Anolis sagrei: one gene and its partner. The protein of the gene in region 1 interacts with the protein of each later gene in a pairwise test. Links are inferred from orthologs where the notes say so. Each region holds a gene or a part of one and is shown in the gene's direction. Other genes may lie near its edges. The genes, in order: RPS14 and KRR1.

The links.
Region 2: the proteins of RPS14 (region 1) and KRR1 interact in binary tests that used the Homo sapiens proteins (3 or more experiments, as listed by UniProt). The link is inferred for Anolis sagrei from reciprocal best matches to the Homo sapiens genes RPS14 and KRR1.

The regions. Positions count from the first base shown.
Region 1 is NC_090022.1:85,398,084-85,406,689, forward strand, and holds the start of RPS14 (small ribosomal subunit protein uS11), read left to right. Parts: upstream 1-4,982; 5' UTR 4,983-5,091; intron 5,092-8,310; 5' UTR 8,311-8,312; coding exon 8,313-8,461; intron 8,462-8,606.
Region 2 is NC_090025.1:146,261,118-146,269,350, reverse strand, and holds the start of KRR1 (KRR1 small subunit processome component homolog), read left to right. Parts: upstream 1-5,009; 5' UTR 5,010-5,062; coding exon 5,063-5,141; intron 5,142-7,453; coding exon 7,454-7,629; intron 7,630-8,169; coding exon 8,170-8,233. UniProt on the Homo sapiens protein: Part of the small subunit (SSU) processome, first precursor of the small eukaryotic ribosomal subunit.

The DNA.
Region 1 (8,606 bases):
CTCTCCCCCCTATATAGATATAGATATAGATATATCCTGTGCCTAAATTGCCCCAAAAATGTGACTGAAGTACACCCCATGCCCCATAGTGGTCGCTTTAAAGAACTTCGGGACAGAAATAATTTTGCAAAAATTGTTTTCAACCCATGGGGAACTCAGGGGCCAGCCAAACGTGGTGCAAATGCTTTCTATACCCCTAGATTGTATTTGGGGGCATTTGGAGGGTGGGTGGGGAGAAATTTGGGGTCCCACAAAAATGGCCCTGTATGCCAAATGCAGCACACAGGCTACAATTTGTCTGACTAATGAGAGCTGTATTTCTAATGTAGCTGGTTTTAGTTTCCTTTTAGCCTTGCAAAACAAGTATAATTTCCCTTCTCTCTCTTCTTAATTATTTAAACTGTAAGCTTGCAAGCTTATCTAGGTAATTGTATTTCTGCCCAGTGCCGAGACCATTTTAGTACTCTTACAAATAAATAATGAGGACAGTGATGATAATGATTACAAGGAAAGATGGGATTAGGACTGACAACAGCACAGATGAGTTTCAAATCTTCCTGGAAATTTGCATCTATCCAGGATCACATTATCATTGCTATTTCTACTGTAATTGATACATCCTTTAAAATAATACATAAAATTGTAGAATTGGACATGATACCAAATGACTTTTAGCCTAACCCTTTACCAAGTCACACTTCATACTTCATGACTTAAGTCATACTTCACAGCTAAATCATATTTCACAGATGACCATCCAACCTATTCAATATTCTTCCAACAAAGGAAGATTTTTTTTTACAGTTCAGTTCTTGCTAAAATATAGGTGATGAAACCAAGCTCAATGAAGAACAGTTGATGAATCTGGGTTTGCTTTCCTTAAGATAAGATTGATGGTGGCTATGAGAAATTTCTGAATATCTAAAGGGCAATAGTGTGGAAGATGGAGTAAGCTTGTTTTTTGCTGTTCCAGGGAAAAAGCCCTAAGAACTTCCAAATGACTACCTTGGAAGGATGTGGATTTTTTTAAAATTGGCTTTTAAAAACAGAGGTGACAGGCAGTTGTCACAGATGCTTTAGTTGTGGTTTCCTGCACTGGTGGGGTGGGGGGTAGGGTGGACTAGAAAGCTATTAGCATCGTCTACTCTACACTTAAAGAGTAGAGACATCACACTGGCAACAAAGATCCGCATAGTCAAAGCCATGGTATTCCCTGTAGTAACCTACGGATGTGAGAGCTGGACCTTAGGGAAGGCTGAGCGAAGGAAGATAGATGCTTTTGAACTGTGGTGTTGGAGGAAAGTTCTGAGAGTGCCTTGGACTGCGAGAAGATCCAACCAGTCCATCCTCCAGGAAATAAAGCCCGACTGCTCATTGGAGAGATGGATACTAGAGACAAAGTTGAAGTACTTTGGCCACATCATGAGGAGACAGCAAAGCTTAGAGAAGACAATTATGCTGGGGAAAGTGGAAGGTAAAAGGAAGAGGGGCCGACCAAGGGCAAGATGGATGGATGGCATCCTTGAAGTGACTGGACTGACCTTGAAGGAGCTGGGGGTGGTGACGGCCGACAGGGAGCTCTGGCGTGGGCTGGTCCATGAGGTCACGAAGAGTCGGAGACGACTGAACGAATGAACAACAACACTCTACACTTTCTTATAATTTACATTTATTAGTTTGGATTCTACTTTTCAGAGCAGCAAAACACAAGCATATTCCATATTCCCTGACCTTTAGATATTTGTGGATTTGTAATGTCTCAATTTTCTCCTCCAAATTACAAACCCATCTTCCTCAATTAGTCCTCGAATTGCTGCTTCCAGTTTCTTTACCCTCCTAGACACTCTCCTCTGGATGACTTCTGGCTTGGTAATATCCTCCTTAAATTGTTCAGGACTAGACATAGTACTTCCAATCCAACCAAAGCAAAATACAGTGATATTACTGCCTTTGAACCAGGCACTATACTGTTCTTTATCCAGACTATAAAAGCACTGTTTTTGCTACTGCATCACACTGTCCACTTAACTCCTGTTTAATCTATGATCTAAGACCCCTAGATTCTTTTCACATATACAGTACTGTTGTCAAGCCAGATGTCATTAATTTTCAATTTATGCACCTAATATTATGCAGCTAATATTTCCAAACTTATGTTGAAATTCATTTTCTTTCCTGGTCCCATTCTCTAGACTCTCAAGGTCATCTTGAATCCTAATTAGGACTCCGCTCAGTTTAGTGTCATCTGCAAATTTGATGAGTGGCCTCTGTTCCTTCACCCAAGTCTTTTATAAAGATGTTGAACAAAACCTGCAGTGCCCCATTTCTCTCTGGGGTGATAAGACACCACTAGCAAGCACTACTGGTTTGGTTTGCCAATCAGCTACAAATCTAAGCACAACAGCACCCAGGAATATCAGAAGGAATGCTATTGTGGGGAATGATATAACCTTGTTGAAAGCCTTACTGAAATGAAGGTGTGCTATATACCTGTCCCTGATTTAACAAGCTTCTAACTCTGTCAGAAGTACGATTAGTCTGACATGAGTCGTTTTTGAGAAATCCATAATGGCTTTTAGCAATCACAGACTGTTTGAAACTTTTTATTTATTGATGGCGTTTACTTTTTGGCGGTTGCCATAATCCTTTTTGAAGATGAGCGCCTCCAGTCTGCAAGGCCCCCATTTGTTATTCAATAATTTTCAAGTATTATAGATAAATGCTTTGAAGCTAACATTGCAAATTCATTTACTACCCTCAGGTAGTTCATTTAGCCACGCATACCTGAATTTACTTAAAGAGGTTAAGTAGTCCCGCCCCAATTCTTTTAATATTTGATATAGTATACTCAGGAATTGGAAGTTTTGTCTCTTTCGTAGGAAGTCTATACTTCTTTGTGCATTCTTTTATTTCAATTTCCCTGCACCATATTGTTTTTTAAAAATCATGTTTATTGTCATCCTCCTTTTGGAAAAGCGGCAAAATAGCTATCAAGCCGTTTGTGGAAGCCAGGATTCATCTTGACAGCTACATATTTGAGCGTGCTTATCAAGTCTGTTAGTTATATGATGGCGTAGTAAACAAACTACCTTCAGCTGACACAAAGGACAGAACTTCTTTTTATCATGGACAAATGAAACATTTGCTTATTTGTGGATACCAACTTTGTTTTGACCAGGGACCACTTTCCAACATTAGTACCGAAAGGCTTACGAATCAGTTTTTGGTCAACTTTAGATTCGGTTTGGTTATTTGGACTGCTGAGTCAGAAAATTGCATTGGATAGACCACATCAGCTCTATTTTCCGATACAGAATATATGCCATCCAGTAGTCGCCATCTGCTTGCTCACAGGAAACCATATTTAATAAGCCTCAGCACGATAAGAGGTTTTTGCAAGACCAGTTGCTCTTGTTGCAACAGCGTAGTAACAGTGAGGCCATGGACCATATTTTAATTCTTGTGGACCACTGTTGGTCCACAGACCACAGGTTAGGAACCACTGAGTTAACTGATAGATTTTCAGGACTCAGAAAATAGGCTTGATAGAATCCTTGAATTAGAATGTGCTTCCTTGGAAATAAGCGAGAGGGCTTCCTCAATATTTCTTTTCTCTTTTTGTCAGGAGTGACTTCAAGTCATTCCTGGTGTGAGAGAATTAGTCTGCAAAGACGTTGCTCAAGGGACACCCGGATGTTTTACCATCCTTTGGGAGGTTTCTCTCATGTCCCCGCATGAGAAGCTTGTGCTGACAGACAGGAGGTCATCCCACTCCCCGAATTTGAACCTACAACCTATTGGTCAGGAGTCCTGCTGGCACAAGGGTTTAACCCATTGTGCCACCAGGGGCTCCTTACAATTGTGCTGATAACAATTCTAGCTTTAGGACTAATAGCTTGAGCGTGTTTAGCCTAAAGACCTTTGAGAACTGTTTTGTTGTAGTTTTTTTTTTGGGCTATATGGCCATGTTCTAGAGCAGTGGTTCTCAACCTGGGGTCCCCAGATGTTTTTGTCCTTCAACTCCCAGAAATCCTAACAGCTGGTAAACTGGCTGGGATTTCTGGGAGTTGTAGGCCAAAAACATCTGGGGACCCCAGGTTAAGAACCACTGTTCTAGAGGCATTCTCTCCTGACGTATCGCCTGCGGATGCATCTATGGCAAGCATCCTCAGAGGTTGAGATCTCACAACCTCTGAGGATGCTTGCCATGGGTTCAGGCGAAACGTCAGGAGAGAATGCCTCTAGAACATGGCTATATAGCCCGAAAAGCCCTACAACAACCCAGTGATTCCAGCCATGAAAGCCTTCGACAATACATTTGTAAACTACTCATCTGTACTGTTATTAATGGACAATATGATTCTTGCTGGAACCAGACATGAATTCTTACAAATGGGATGGCAATGTGGTACTAAAAACTCATCTGATTGTGTGTCAGCCCTACAATTGCCCATTTTCATCCATCATCAGTCCTCCTGGCACAAGTTTAACCTATCGCACCACCAGAGGCAGGTTTCTCCTCGAGATGGAGACATGAACTCACTAAGGAGGTTTTCAGGCAGCAGGCCTTAAACCTGGGTTTGAAAGATGTCCCTGTTAACAACTTCACTGTTGAAATCGACTTCAGTGAGGAGCCAACTCTTTTCCTGCAGGCACCAATAATACAAGCCCCTCTCGCTATGCTGTAAGTGGAACCAGCCATCTTCAAGCAGAACGGAACAAGGCCTTTGGAGGGAGTAGACGCGATGGCGTCAGGCGCACTGCTGGAACGCTCCCTGTGAAGCGACCGCCGCCATGTTGAGTGAGGGCCTCCTCACCTCTTTCTCTCTCGCCCCACTTTACAAGGCTCTATGAACCTCATTTCAGTGCAGCTGGGCCTTTCTTCCTCCGCCTAGAGCGGCGGACACAGTGTCATCTCTTCTTAGTAACGATACGAGCCAAGACACTACGCCAGCTCTTTGGAGGAAGTAGCCCTCTCTCCCCGCCCTCCCAACGGAGAGTATTGCTTCCGGGTGAGACGAGGCGACCTCTCTTCCCGTGACGCTGGCCTCTTCCTTTCCGGTGCTGGTTGCCGCCTGCGAGGACACTCGAGTAAGTGGCTGAGGGAAGGGAAAAGAAGGGGGGCGCCTTCCATCCGCCGCCATCCTCCTCAGCCGGGGCTCCCAGGGCCCCTCTTTGGAGCTTTTGGGGTGCACCCCTTCTAAGAGAAGGGAGGGCCGCAATGGCCGGGCGCTTAATGGGGGATCGGGGGGAGAAAGAGGACCCCGCCATTCTCTGCCTGTCGGGCCTGCCTTTGAGTAGTCTCCTCCACTCGAAGCAGCCGTGTAGGCCTTGCGAGGTGGGCGCCCCTTCTTTCGAGCCGGGGTTTGGGCCTCTTACCTGTATTGAAAGGCTTTGCAGTACATAAATATGGAGACCTGAGGCTTTTCTCAGGCCACCCGCAAGAGTCAGGACTTGGATGGAACACATGTATTTTCCCATTCATACATCAAAATATAGCTTATGAGAACTATTCAGCAGTGGAACTCTGCCCCAGAGTGTGGTAGCTTTGGAAGCTTTTAAACGGAGGCTGGATGGCCATCTGTCGGGGGTGCTTTGAATGCAATTTTCCTGCTTCTTGGCAGGGGGTTGGACTGGATGGCCCATGAGGTCTCTTCCAACTCTAGGATTCTATGAGATGGGGCCCAAGCACAGAATTCATTTATGTTTCATCTACACCAGGCCTAGGCAAACTTGGGCCCTCCAGGTGTTTTGGACTTCAACTCCCACCATGCCTAACAGCCTCAGGCCCTTTCCTTCCCCCATTTAGCTGCTTAAGCCGCCTAAGGCTGTTAGGAATGGTGGGAGTTGAAGTCCAAAACACCCGGAGCCCCAAGTTTGCCCACGCCTAATCTACACCTTACAGATAATTTTAAAACAATTATTTTGTGCATGAAACAGTGGTGCATACGTTGAACCACCAGAAAGAAACAGTGTCACTGTTCTTAGCCACCGCTAGGCACAATTTTAAGAGTAGTTTAGGATGCTTAACCTATTTTCAGCGTATATTATTTTGGCTCTGATTAGACAGTAAACTAGGTCCCTGCACTTAGTCGATACTTGTACTTGAAAACTATCCATAAGTCCTAAAGTCTACTACATTTGTAATGCCGCTATTCCAACACATGTAGATGGCTTGCATTTCCATACAAGGCCATGGGGTTTAAGTAATTGCAGGAATTGTGGTCCTCAATTCTCAATTTAAAAGTTTTTCCTATTCCAGAGTTGGAAATTTATGATAGTCTAAAGACCAGTCTGTGCATTGCTTTGTTTCCACTTCAAATACTTCCTATACATCGGCAAATGATTGCATTTCTAATTATTTAGCATTTATTGAACTAAAAAAGAAATGATCACAGTAATGTTTTTATTTATTGTAGAAAGGATATTTTGGTTTTCGATCTAGAAAAGAATACATAATAGTCACAGGGAGAATTCAAGACAGATAAAGGCCTCTAATATTAGACTGGACATAACTGATGCTATTTGGTTGTTAGAATTCATAACCATATTTGTAAAAGGGGAAAGGTTTATTATATGATCCAAAGAGAAACCAGAGTATACTTATATCCATATTTGTGACAAATAGTAAAGGTTTTGATTTGATATCATATGGTTTGGGAACTTAGTTTAAAATTTTAAATATGGCAACACTGAAGTTTCTGTGTTCTACATGAGATGCTTATTTCTTGTTCTGAGGATGCATCTGCACTGTAGATTTATTCAGTTCAGCATTACCTTATCTACCATGACTGAATGCTGGGACTTGTCTTTTTGCAATGTCTTCAGTATTCTCTGCCAAAGAGAGCTGCTGCCAGCCAAATGACAAATTCCATACCATTGAGCCATGACCATTAAGTTGGTGTTAAACTGCACAAACCATGGGCAGCCAGATATATTTCCTGTCTGTAGTGTTCCTTATTCTTAAAATGTTGGATTGAAAATGAAGTTGGTGGAATAACCTCTAGCAGTCTTCGCCAGTGTTTTGTTCATAATGACTTGCCTGGGATACACTGAAGTGTACAGACTTCATAGCAGGCTCATATGATAAGCGTGGCAAAAGGTGGACTTGATGGCCCTTGTGGTCTCTATGGCACTAAGTGTTATGGCCAGAGGAAAGAAATTCACCACAGGTGTGCTGATTCCCTGCCTAAATATCTTAAAGGCACCAGATCCTGTCTGATCTTGGATGCTAAGCAGTGCTATCCCAGGTTGGAACTTGGGTGGGTGGACAGCAGTGAATATCATGTGCTGTAGGATATATTTCAGAAGGAAGAATTGGCAAAATCTCTGAGTATTCCTTGCCTAAGGAGGCCATATGAAATTCCTGTGCTTGCCATAATCCAACAGGTGATTTGAAGGCATATACACACATACGATGCTTCCAGTGCATCCTCATTTTAAATGTAATGTGCTGTGGGGAGTACTGAATTTTCTAACACTATTTGATTTGTGCTGTCTTTGCCATGCAAGTAAATAGCATTCCAAGATAAAATAATACTGAATTCTTCAAACCTCTAGCTAGGATGCTGGATATTACACAGTTTTGCCAAAATAGATTTTTTTAATGAAGACCATGATATTAATTGGAATTCGCATCCTATGTTTAATGAAACCGACATTCAAAATATTTAGGTGCAAGTTTACTGCAAATTACTATTATCTTTAGGTCCATACTGTTTCAGGTTTAAAAGACATTAAAACTCTTAGATTCACTGGGTATGTTTTAATCATGTCTGCAACCTTACTAAACCATGGTGTAATTAAATGCTATTCAGCATGTTTCCTCTTGGATGTATAAGAAGAATAATAATTCTTCTTGATACTGGACCCACTGTTTTGCCTCTCTTTGTTTTTTGCCAGCAGAGCAAGATGCTCACTGTGGAGACTGTTACCTTTTTTTTTTCTCAGCTGATGAGTTTTTTGCTCTCTCTCTTGTCTGTATTATAGAAAAACATACTGTATATTGGAATATTAAATTCCCACATCATACAGTGATTTCCTTTTGCTCTTCTGGAAGGCAAAGCTGGTTGTTTTTTTGTTTTTTTTCTGGGGGGGGGGTGACTGAATTGCTGGGACTGATTCATGTAAAAAGGAGTGTCTCTCAGCATGATTCCCCTGTTGGCATTCTTTAATATGGCCTGCTTATAAGAATTGGACCTGTATTAGTCAGCTTGCATCTTGATCTAATGCAGCATTATAAATAGTACTGCTCCAAGAAAAAGTACTTGGACTTATGCCTCCTCCATATCTTCTTGCTTTCTTACACAGAAATGGCACCTCGTAAGGGCAAGGAAAAGAAGGAAGAGCAGGTCATCAGTTTGGGACCCCAGGTTGCTGAAGGAGAGAATGTGTTTGGAGTCTGCCACATCTTTGCTTCCTTCAATGACACTTTTGTTCACGTAACTGATCTGTCTGGCAAGTGAGTAGTTCACATTTTAGGCTGCCTGCTGTAGAAAGAGTTATTACACTCTAAAGTAAGCACATCTCTCTCTCTCTCTCTCTCTCTCTGTTTATAACCACCACATTGATGTCCCCGTCCCCCCCGCCCAACTAAATATATATTG
Region 2 (8,233 bases), on another chromosome or scaffold:
CCATAAAACTGCATTTGAAGACTGGGGGAGCCACCCAGACAGGCCCAAAACATGGGACCTGTCTGGGTTTTTACTGGGGTGTCTAAATGATGCCTCCAGTAAAAAACAAAAAACAAAAAAAAAACACATTGCTTCTGCAATCCCATAAAACTAAGTTATTCCAAATTAATTAAATACCCCATAAGATTCGGACCTTCCTGGAAGTCCAGAGTCTAATGGAGTATTGGGCCCATGGGGACTCACTTTTGGGTAGTCCTAGGACTATCCGAGGGTGAGAACTCATTTGTCATCTTGAATCTTTTGGGTTCCTGAAGTTCAAAAGTCCAGGGTGGCACCCAACCCCTCTAACCAACCCCAAATTTCCCTCTAAAAATAAAGTTAAATTTACCTGGTTTCCATAGCTTTCCTCCTGGTGCCCTCCTGGCATGATGATATGACATGCCAAGAGATGGGAGAGCAAAGAGGGATCCCCCTTTCATCTCCTGGCATGTCATTTCTTCAGGAGAACATGAGGAGGAAAGTTATGGTGGCCAGGTAAGTGTAACTTTCTTTTTTATGGGAAAATGAAGGAGGCTTTGGGATGGCTGTATCTCATCCCGATTGTAATCAGGATAGCATATAGGCATCCCCACCCCAGAAAGCCCGGGGCTTTTGGCCGGCATGGGGACTCAAATCCACACCAAAGCGGGTTTTTAAAAAACCCACTATGGCACAGATTTGGGGCCTGTCTGGAATCCCTATATCTTCCAGCTTGACAGTAAAAAGTCGAACGTAGGCTGGACCTACACTACCCTCTATCCAAGAATCTGATCCCAGATTATCTGCTTTGAACTGGATTCTATGAAGGATCTACCAAACATGGGAAAATCCCAGGAGCAACTGGAATATTTAATCCCAGTTCCACCCAGCATTTAGTCCCCACATCCACCCCAAACCCTGAGTTTTCCTGGGAGCAGGCTATATGCCCTCCCAAGTCAACCAGAAATATCAGAGTTTGATCCAGGAGAGCATGGACTAGCCCCCCCCCCCCCCCCCAATTTATTCCCAAAACTTACCCAAGGAGCCTAGCAGCATGCGAAGGCCCTTGTCGAAAGCTCTTGGTGTGTCAAAATGATGCGTCAAGAGGTTGGGGGGTGGGGTAAGGAGAGAATTCCTCCTTCCTCCCCCAACTTCCCGACATTTCATTTTGCATGCAGGCCCCTCAGGTACATTTTGGGGCAAATGGGGGACTGGGAAGGGGGAGGGGGCTTCAGGAGCCTGAAAAACCAGCATCACGATGAATTGTGGAAGCAGTCCCAGTAGTTAGTCCCCACAGGGCCCACACCTGGAAAGATCTTGACCTTACATTAAGGTCCAGATCTTTCCAGGTGTCTAATTAATCCAGAGTAAACTGGGAAATCCCAGTTTACTCCAGCTTCATTTGGGTTTACTTGTCGTTTGATTAAACATGTTCTCTCTAAGGCCCCTTCTACACTGTCATTTAAAATCCTCATTTTCTACTTTGAATGGATTCTACATTGCCAGATAATCCAGTTCAAAGTAGATAATCTAGATTTTATATGGCAGTATACATGGGGCCCTAGATGGGGCATATAATGAAAGCATAGTGTGTATTATTTAGCCTACTGACTTCAGCCTTCCCTGAAGCTGTCCAAACAGACTCCAGTGTAGTGAGATTTGTCCATACAATTTCATCATACTGTGGAAGAATAAGGAGAACACATGCACTTTGAAAGTGACTTTGTGTTTTGTATACATATGATAAGGGTATTTTAAAGCATCTTTTCCTTTTCTAAGAAACTGAAGGTCAAAAAATACTCGAGAATAAATATATGCTGAGTGATCGGTTTGCATGCAACACAAATACAAATGTGCTTATCAAACTCCTGTCCTGTCTTATGACACAAAGTAGGAAACACAAATAACCTTGTGTTTCCTATACCACAATTGGCAGCAAGATGCCAATTGTGGTATAGAGTGCATCCACATTGTAGGATGAATGCAATTTGGAACCACTTTAACTGCCATAGCTCAATGCTATGTAACCTTGGGAGCTGGAGTTTTACAATGGGTTGCTGTGAGTTTTTCAGGCTGCATGGCCAGGTTCCAGCAGCATTCTCTCCTAACGTTTCACCTGCATCTGTGGCTGGTATCTTCAGAGGTTCTATTGGGAGTGAAGCAAGTGAAGTGAAGCAGTGAAGCAAGTAGAGTGTTTATATACCCGTGGCTTCTCTGTGTAGTCTGACCTAATGGTTGTCAGAGTGGTCCAGAATTTCTGTGTTCTCAAATAATATTCTGTGTCCAGGTTGGTTTATCAAGTGCTCTGTTATAGCCGGCCATGAAAGCCATCGACAATATATGGAATATCTATAGTCTTCTCTGCCAGCGTGCAGGCACTGCAGTAAACTATAAATATATGCTGTCAAACTGCATTATTTCTACAGTGTAGATGCACCCATAGTTACTAGAGTGTTGGACTAGAAGTGGAATACCTGCGCAGAGCTTTTGCTGGCATTTGCTGCCTAAAATCAAGCACAATATAGGATTTTCTGTGAAATGATTTAGACCATCAGTTGAATACTGGCAATGGAATAGCTCCCCCAAAATCTGAAAGTAGCAGTGAATTTTAAACAAATAGGATAGATCTTCTGTAACTTATGGATCTTTCCTCCAACAGAGAAGACAACAGCAGACCTTTTAAGGTTACAGTTGCAGCAAGAGAGCAATTGTGGTATAGGGCCCTTCCACACAGCCCTATATCCCAGAATATCAAGGCAGAAAATACCACATTATCAGAGTGTGGACTCAGATAACCAAGTTCAAAGCAGGTATTGTGGGATTTTCTGCCTTGATATTCTGGGATATAGGGTTGTGTGAAAGGGCCCATAGACTGCATCCACAATGTAGAATTAATGCAGTCTGGCACCATTTTAAATGCCATGGTTCAATGTTAGAATCCTGGAAATTGTAGTTTTACAATATCTTTTGCTTTCTCTGCCATACCTGTAGAGATGCCAGAGTGAAAACTGGACCATTAATTGTTGTGCAAAACACAGTTACTATTACTAGGGGTAACTATACTGTAGCATTAATGTAGTTTGACTCTGCTTTAATAAGTTGAGCCATGACATCCTGAGAGTTGTAGTTTTAGAATGGATGGACATCTGTTGGGGGTGCTTTGAATGCATTTTTCCTGCTTCTTGGCAAGGGGTTGGACTGGATGGCCTACGATGTCTCTTCCAGCTCAATGATTATATAAGGTCTTTAACCTTTGCTGCCCAAGAGTGCAGGTTCGTTACCAAACTACAACTCCCAGGATCCCAGATTATGGAGCCATCGCAATTAAAGTGGTATCAAAATGCAGTGTAGATACTCTTTTGCTTGCACGGCAAGAATACATGCTAAAATTCCCTGCTCTGCACAAACATTGAAGCTACAACACGTCCCCTCCAGCTTTCAGTCTGACACCTCAGCTGTAAATAATTTGAAAGTAACTCTTCAAACTTTAATAGGTACAGTAAAAACACAGCACATGGTACAAAACATTTCCTCTTGCAGACCTGACCTTCAAGATTTGGTTAATCACATATTCGGTGAAAGGTGAGTAATTTCTCAGAAGCAGTACACAGATAGTTGGTTATATATACACACAAAATAAATAACCTAGAAGAGGTAAAGATAAAGGACAAGATAAGTAGGACAAGAAAAAAAAGGAACGAACTACACTGCCATATAATCCAGATTATCAAAGCAGAAAATCCACATTATCTGCTTTGATAGTCTGGATTATATAGCAGTGCAGAAGAGGTTTATTTATTTACAGTATTTATATTCTGCCCTTCTCACCCCACAGAGGACTCAGAGCGGATTACAATGCACATATACATGGAAAACATTCAATGACATTTAAACATACAACATATATAGACAGACACAGAGGCATTTAACATTCCAGCTTCATGGGGGTATGCTTGATTCTGGCCAGAGGGGGAGCTGCCGCTTCACTGTCCACTTGTGATACCGAGTCCTTTGATAGAGTACTTCCTCATTCTTCTTCACTCTGTTGGGGGTTTTTTATGGCATCGTAAATTAGTTAAATTAGCCTCCCCGCATAAAGCGGTACCTAAATTTCCTACTTGACAGATGCAACTGTCTTTCGGGCTGCATAGGTCGACAGCAAGCTAGACTATTAATGGTCGGGAGCTTCCTCCGACCCCGGCTGGCTTCGAACTCATGAGCCCTTGGTCAGTAGTGATTTAATGCAGCTGGCTACTAACTAGCTGGTCCTGAGAAACCATCTCCCTCCTCATTACCTCTGAGGATGCTTGCCATAGATGCAGGCGAAACGTCAGGAGAAAATTTGCCTCCAGAACATGGCCATATAGCCCGGAAAAACCTACAACAACCCATCTCCCTCCTGCTACACAAAAACCTGCCAATTGAATCTGACTCCAGTAGTGGATATTATTGGGCCATCCTGCTGTCGATTTATCTACACTGTAGACTTAATGCAGTTTGATACCACTTTAACTGCCCATGGCTCAATGCTATGGAATCGTGGGAGTAGTAGTTTTCCAAGGCCTTTGCTTTGCCTGCCATAGAGCGCCCGTGCCTTACCTAACTACACTCCCATGACTCCATATACTAGTTAAAGTGCTATCAAACTGCATTAATTTTACAGCGTAGATGCATCATTGGTATCAGCAAAACAAGACTAAAACGTGGAATACTTTGCAATCAGTCGTTTACATCAAACCTACTAGAGATACTCTCAGAAAGAGCCATACACTGTGGTTCTCTTAATGTATGGGCATTTTGGACTTCAACTCCCAGAAGCCCAAGTCGACTTGGCCAACGGTCTGGAATTCTGGGAGTTGAAGTCCCCCTTCCCAAAGAAGTCTAAGGCCAAATTGGTTCCAATCGCTTCATCATTCTACTACGATGTATCACTCTTGACTTTTCTAGTTCTATGTGTGCCTTTATTGTGGGATGAGAACATCCGGGCTCTTCGGCTCACAGAGCGGCTGTACTTCCGGGTGAAGGGGAGGAAGGTGGGAGCAGCATGGCTGCGCCCGGGGAGAGTGAGCGAGGGAAGGGGGAGCCCGAAACGAGGAGCCCCAAAGGCAAGAAGGCGAGCAAGGGTGAGTGTAGGCTCGTTTGGATCAGGAAGGGTCCCCTCAAAAGCAGGCAGGCTAGAGAGGGCTCAGGGCCTTCCACACAGCCATATAACCCAGAATAACAAGGCAGAAAACCCCACAGTAGCTGCTTTGAACTGGATTATCTGAGTTCACACTGCCATATAATCCAGTTCAAAGCAGATAGTGTGGGATTTTATTCAGCTGAGTGGAAGGGACCTCAGGCAGAGCCTTCTTTCTCAGGAGCTTTCCACACCATACATTTATAGTGTTATGGTTCCATTTTCACCGCCCTTGTAGGATTTTGGGGTTTGCAGTTCAAGGGGGTGTGTGTTTATAATTCGCATCTAGAGGGCACATGCCAGGATCAAGTGGAAACACAGCGCAATAATTTGATATTGGTATGATTATGGGTCCTTCCATACAGCCCTGTATCCCAGAATATCAAGACAGAAAATCCTACAATATCTGCTTTGAGCTGGGTAATCTGAGTCCACACACAGATAATGTGGGATTTTTTGCCTTGATATTTTGGGATATAGATCTGTGATCTTAACTCCGAAATGCTTGGGGCCAGAAGGTGTTGGGATTTTTCTCTAATCCCTGTATTTGCATATGTATACATATTGCGCATCATTTAAGGCTCCTTCAACGCTGCCATATAAAATTGATATTATTTGCTTTGAGTGGATTATATGGCAGTGTGGACACATAACCCTGTTCAAAGAAGATAATGTGGATTATCTGCTTTGCAAATCTGGATTATATGGCAGTGTAGAAGGGACCTATGTTTCATATCTGCACCTTGAAGGTAATTTCATGCAATATTTTAATAATCTTGTACACGAAACAAAGTGTTGAACCATTAAAAAAAACAAAAGTGCTACTATCTCAGGCTGGATCGACGCTGCCATATTGGGACTTCAGAAAGTGGATTACATGGTAGTGTAGATTGGGCCTTAGCCACCCATGTGGACCATTTTGGAGCATTTCATCTTTTAAAACCCTGGGCAAGAAATGTGCCACCAACTTGCTCCTGGGTTTTTGATTCTAAGCAAAAAAATATATATATTGGCTGTGTTTGAATAACAGATTGGTATTGAATCTCATGCATTTTTGATGTTTCTGAGGTGTGCATATTCTTGAATTATTGCTAAATGTAGGAGCCCCTGGTGGCGCAGTGGGTTAAACCACTGTGCTGGTAGGACTGAAGACCTACAGGTCGCAGATTCGAATCCGGGGAGAGCGCGGATGAGCTCCCTCTATCAGCTCCAGCTCCTCATGCGGGGACATGAGAGAAGCCTCCCATAAGGATGATAAAGCATCAAAACATCCGGGCGTCCCCTGGGCAACGTCCTTGCAGACGGCCAATTCTCTCACACCAGAAGCAACTTGCAGTTTCTCAAGTCGCTCCTGACATGACAAAAAAAATGTGCCCTCTCATGATAGATTATTGCTTTACAGCTTTTTTGTTCTCCTTGCTCTACTTAGCATGGAGACAATTGATTTGAAAACTCTTGGATTGGCATGGAGTAAATTGTTCAAGAAGATAATGCTTTTAAAATCATTATTAGTGAGGGGAAAACAAGACATGATTGGAAGAGTCTGGAGCGGTCACTGTTGCATCCTGATGATTATTACTAATGAAAATAATTTCTCAAAACTCCTGCTGCTTAAGACTGTTAGAGTTGCAAACTGGGATCTTCTATTTTTACTGACTGTTATTGGTATAAAGTATTTTTTACTACACTCTTCGGTTGAAAGGTCTCCCACAGTATATATTACATTAGTTTTACCAGGTCAGAATTATTCAGGGGCCCAAAGCCAAGACCTGGGATGCCATGGGAGTGATGCCATTAAGCATGATAAACATAACAAAATGCCATTAAACATGATGAACATTAAACATGAGACAGCACATATCAAATACAGTTTCACACATAATGCAGTTCACATTTTTTTAAAAAAAACAAAAACATATCTAAGTTTAACACACGAGAAAGCACACTGCAGCAGCCTGCTGATCCCTGAGGAATGACAAAAGGGGGACAGGCCCTGAAATATGACAACTCTAATACACATCGATCTTATGGGCTTACAGTCTAAAAATGCAAAAGAAATAAGAAGGGAGGAATAAGGTGAACCCAAGCACTAATTAGAGTTGGCACCGTTTTTGAAGTGTGGCAATTTCCCATCATCAAGCTTCAACATACAGTTGTTGTGGTCTCTTTCTGTCTTTCCTGCCTCTGTTCCCTGATCCTGCATTTCTTAATCAGAGAAAACCATTCTAATATATATGTATATATTTTTGTTAACAGTAGATGAATCGGAACTTCTTACTGTTCCTGATGGATGGAAAGAGCCAGCCTTTAAACGAGAAGATAATCCTAAAGGACTTCTGGAAGAAAGCAGCTTTGCCACTCTCTTCCCAAAATACAGAGAAGCATACTTGAAAGAATGCTGGCCATTGGTGCAAAAAGCACTGAATGAACATGTAGGGCTGTTTTTAATACTTTCCTCAAGCTTCCTATGTTTACGTTTTATTTCCCAAACCTAGATGCATTGGGGTGGGTCAGAGAGGAGGATGAGTAGGGCCATTTGGCATACTTTTGAATGGGGAATTCTAAAGCTGCCTCTATATTTAAATTTAATTGCAATAAATGGACATCAATGAAAAGTCCTGTAATTTCTTGGAGTTGGTTCTGGGACCCGCCATGGATGCCAAAAACAAAACAAAACAAAAAAACCAGACATGAATGATTACATTCTATATTAAATGGCAGCTAACCAATTATGCTTCAGTATGTCCACATTTGTTCTGCTACCATCTGTTTAATATGGTACAAGATTGCCTGCAGTTGCTGGAAATGGCAGATCTGGATCTCAGTGGCCTGGAGCATTTGTAAATGTAAAAAATATCTTGTGTTTTATTGTGTTGGTATTCACAATATAATCTGTAAACCCTTTTAATGATTGTGTTAAGAACCAGTTGTGCTGCTATATAAAACTCTTACTTGCTTTTTTTGTGTTTCAGCACATAAATGCGGCTTTAGATTTGATTGAAGGAAGCATGACTGTTAGCACAACAAAGAAGACCT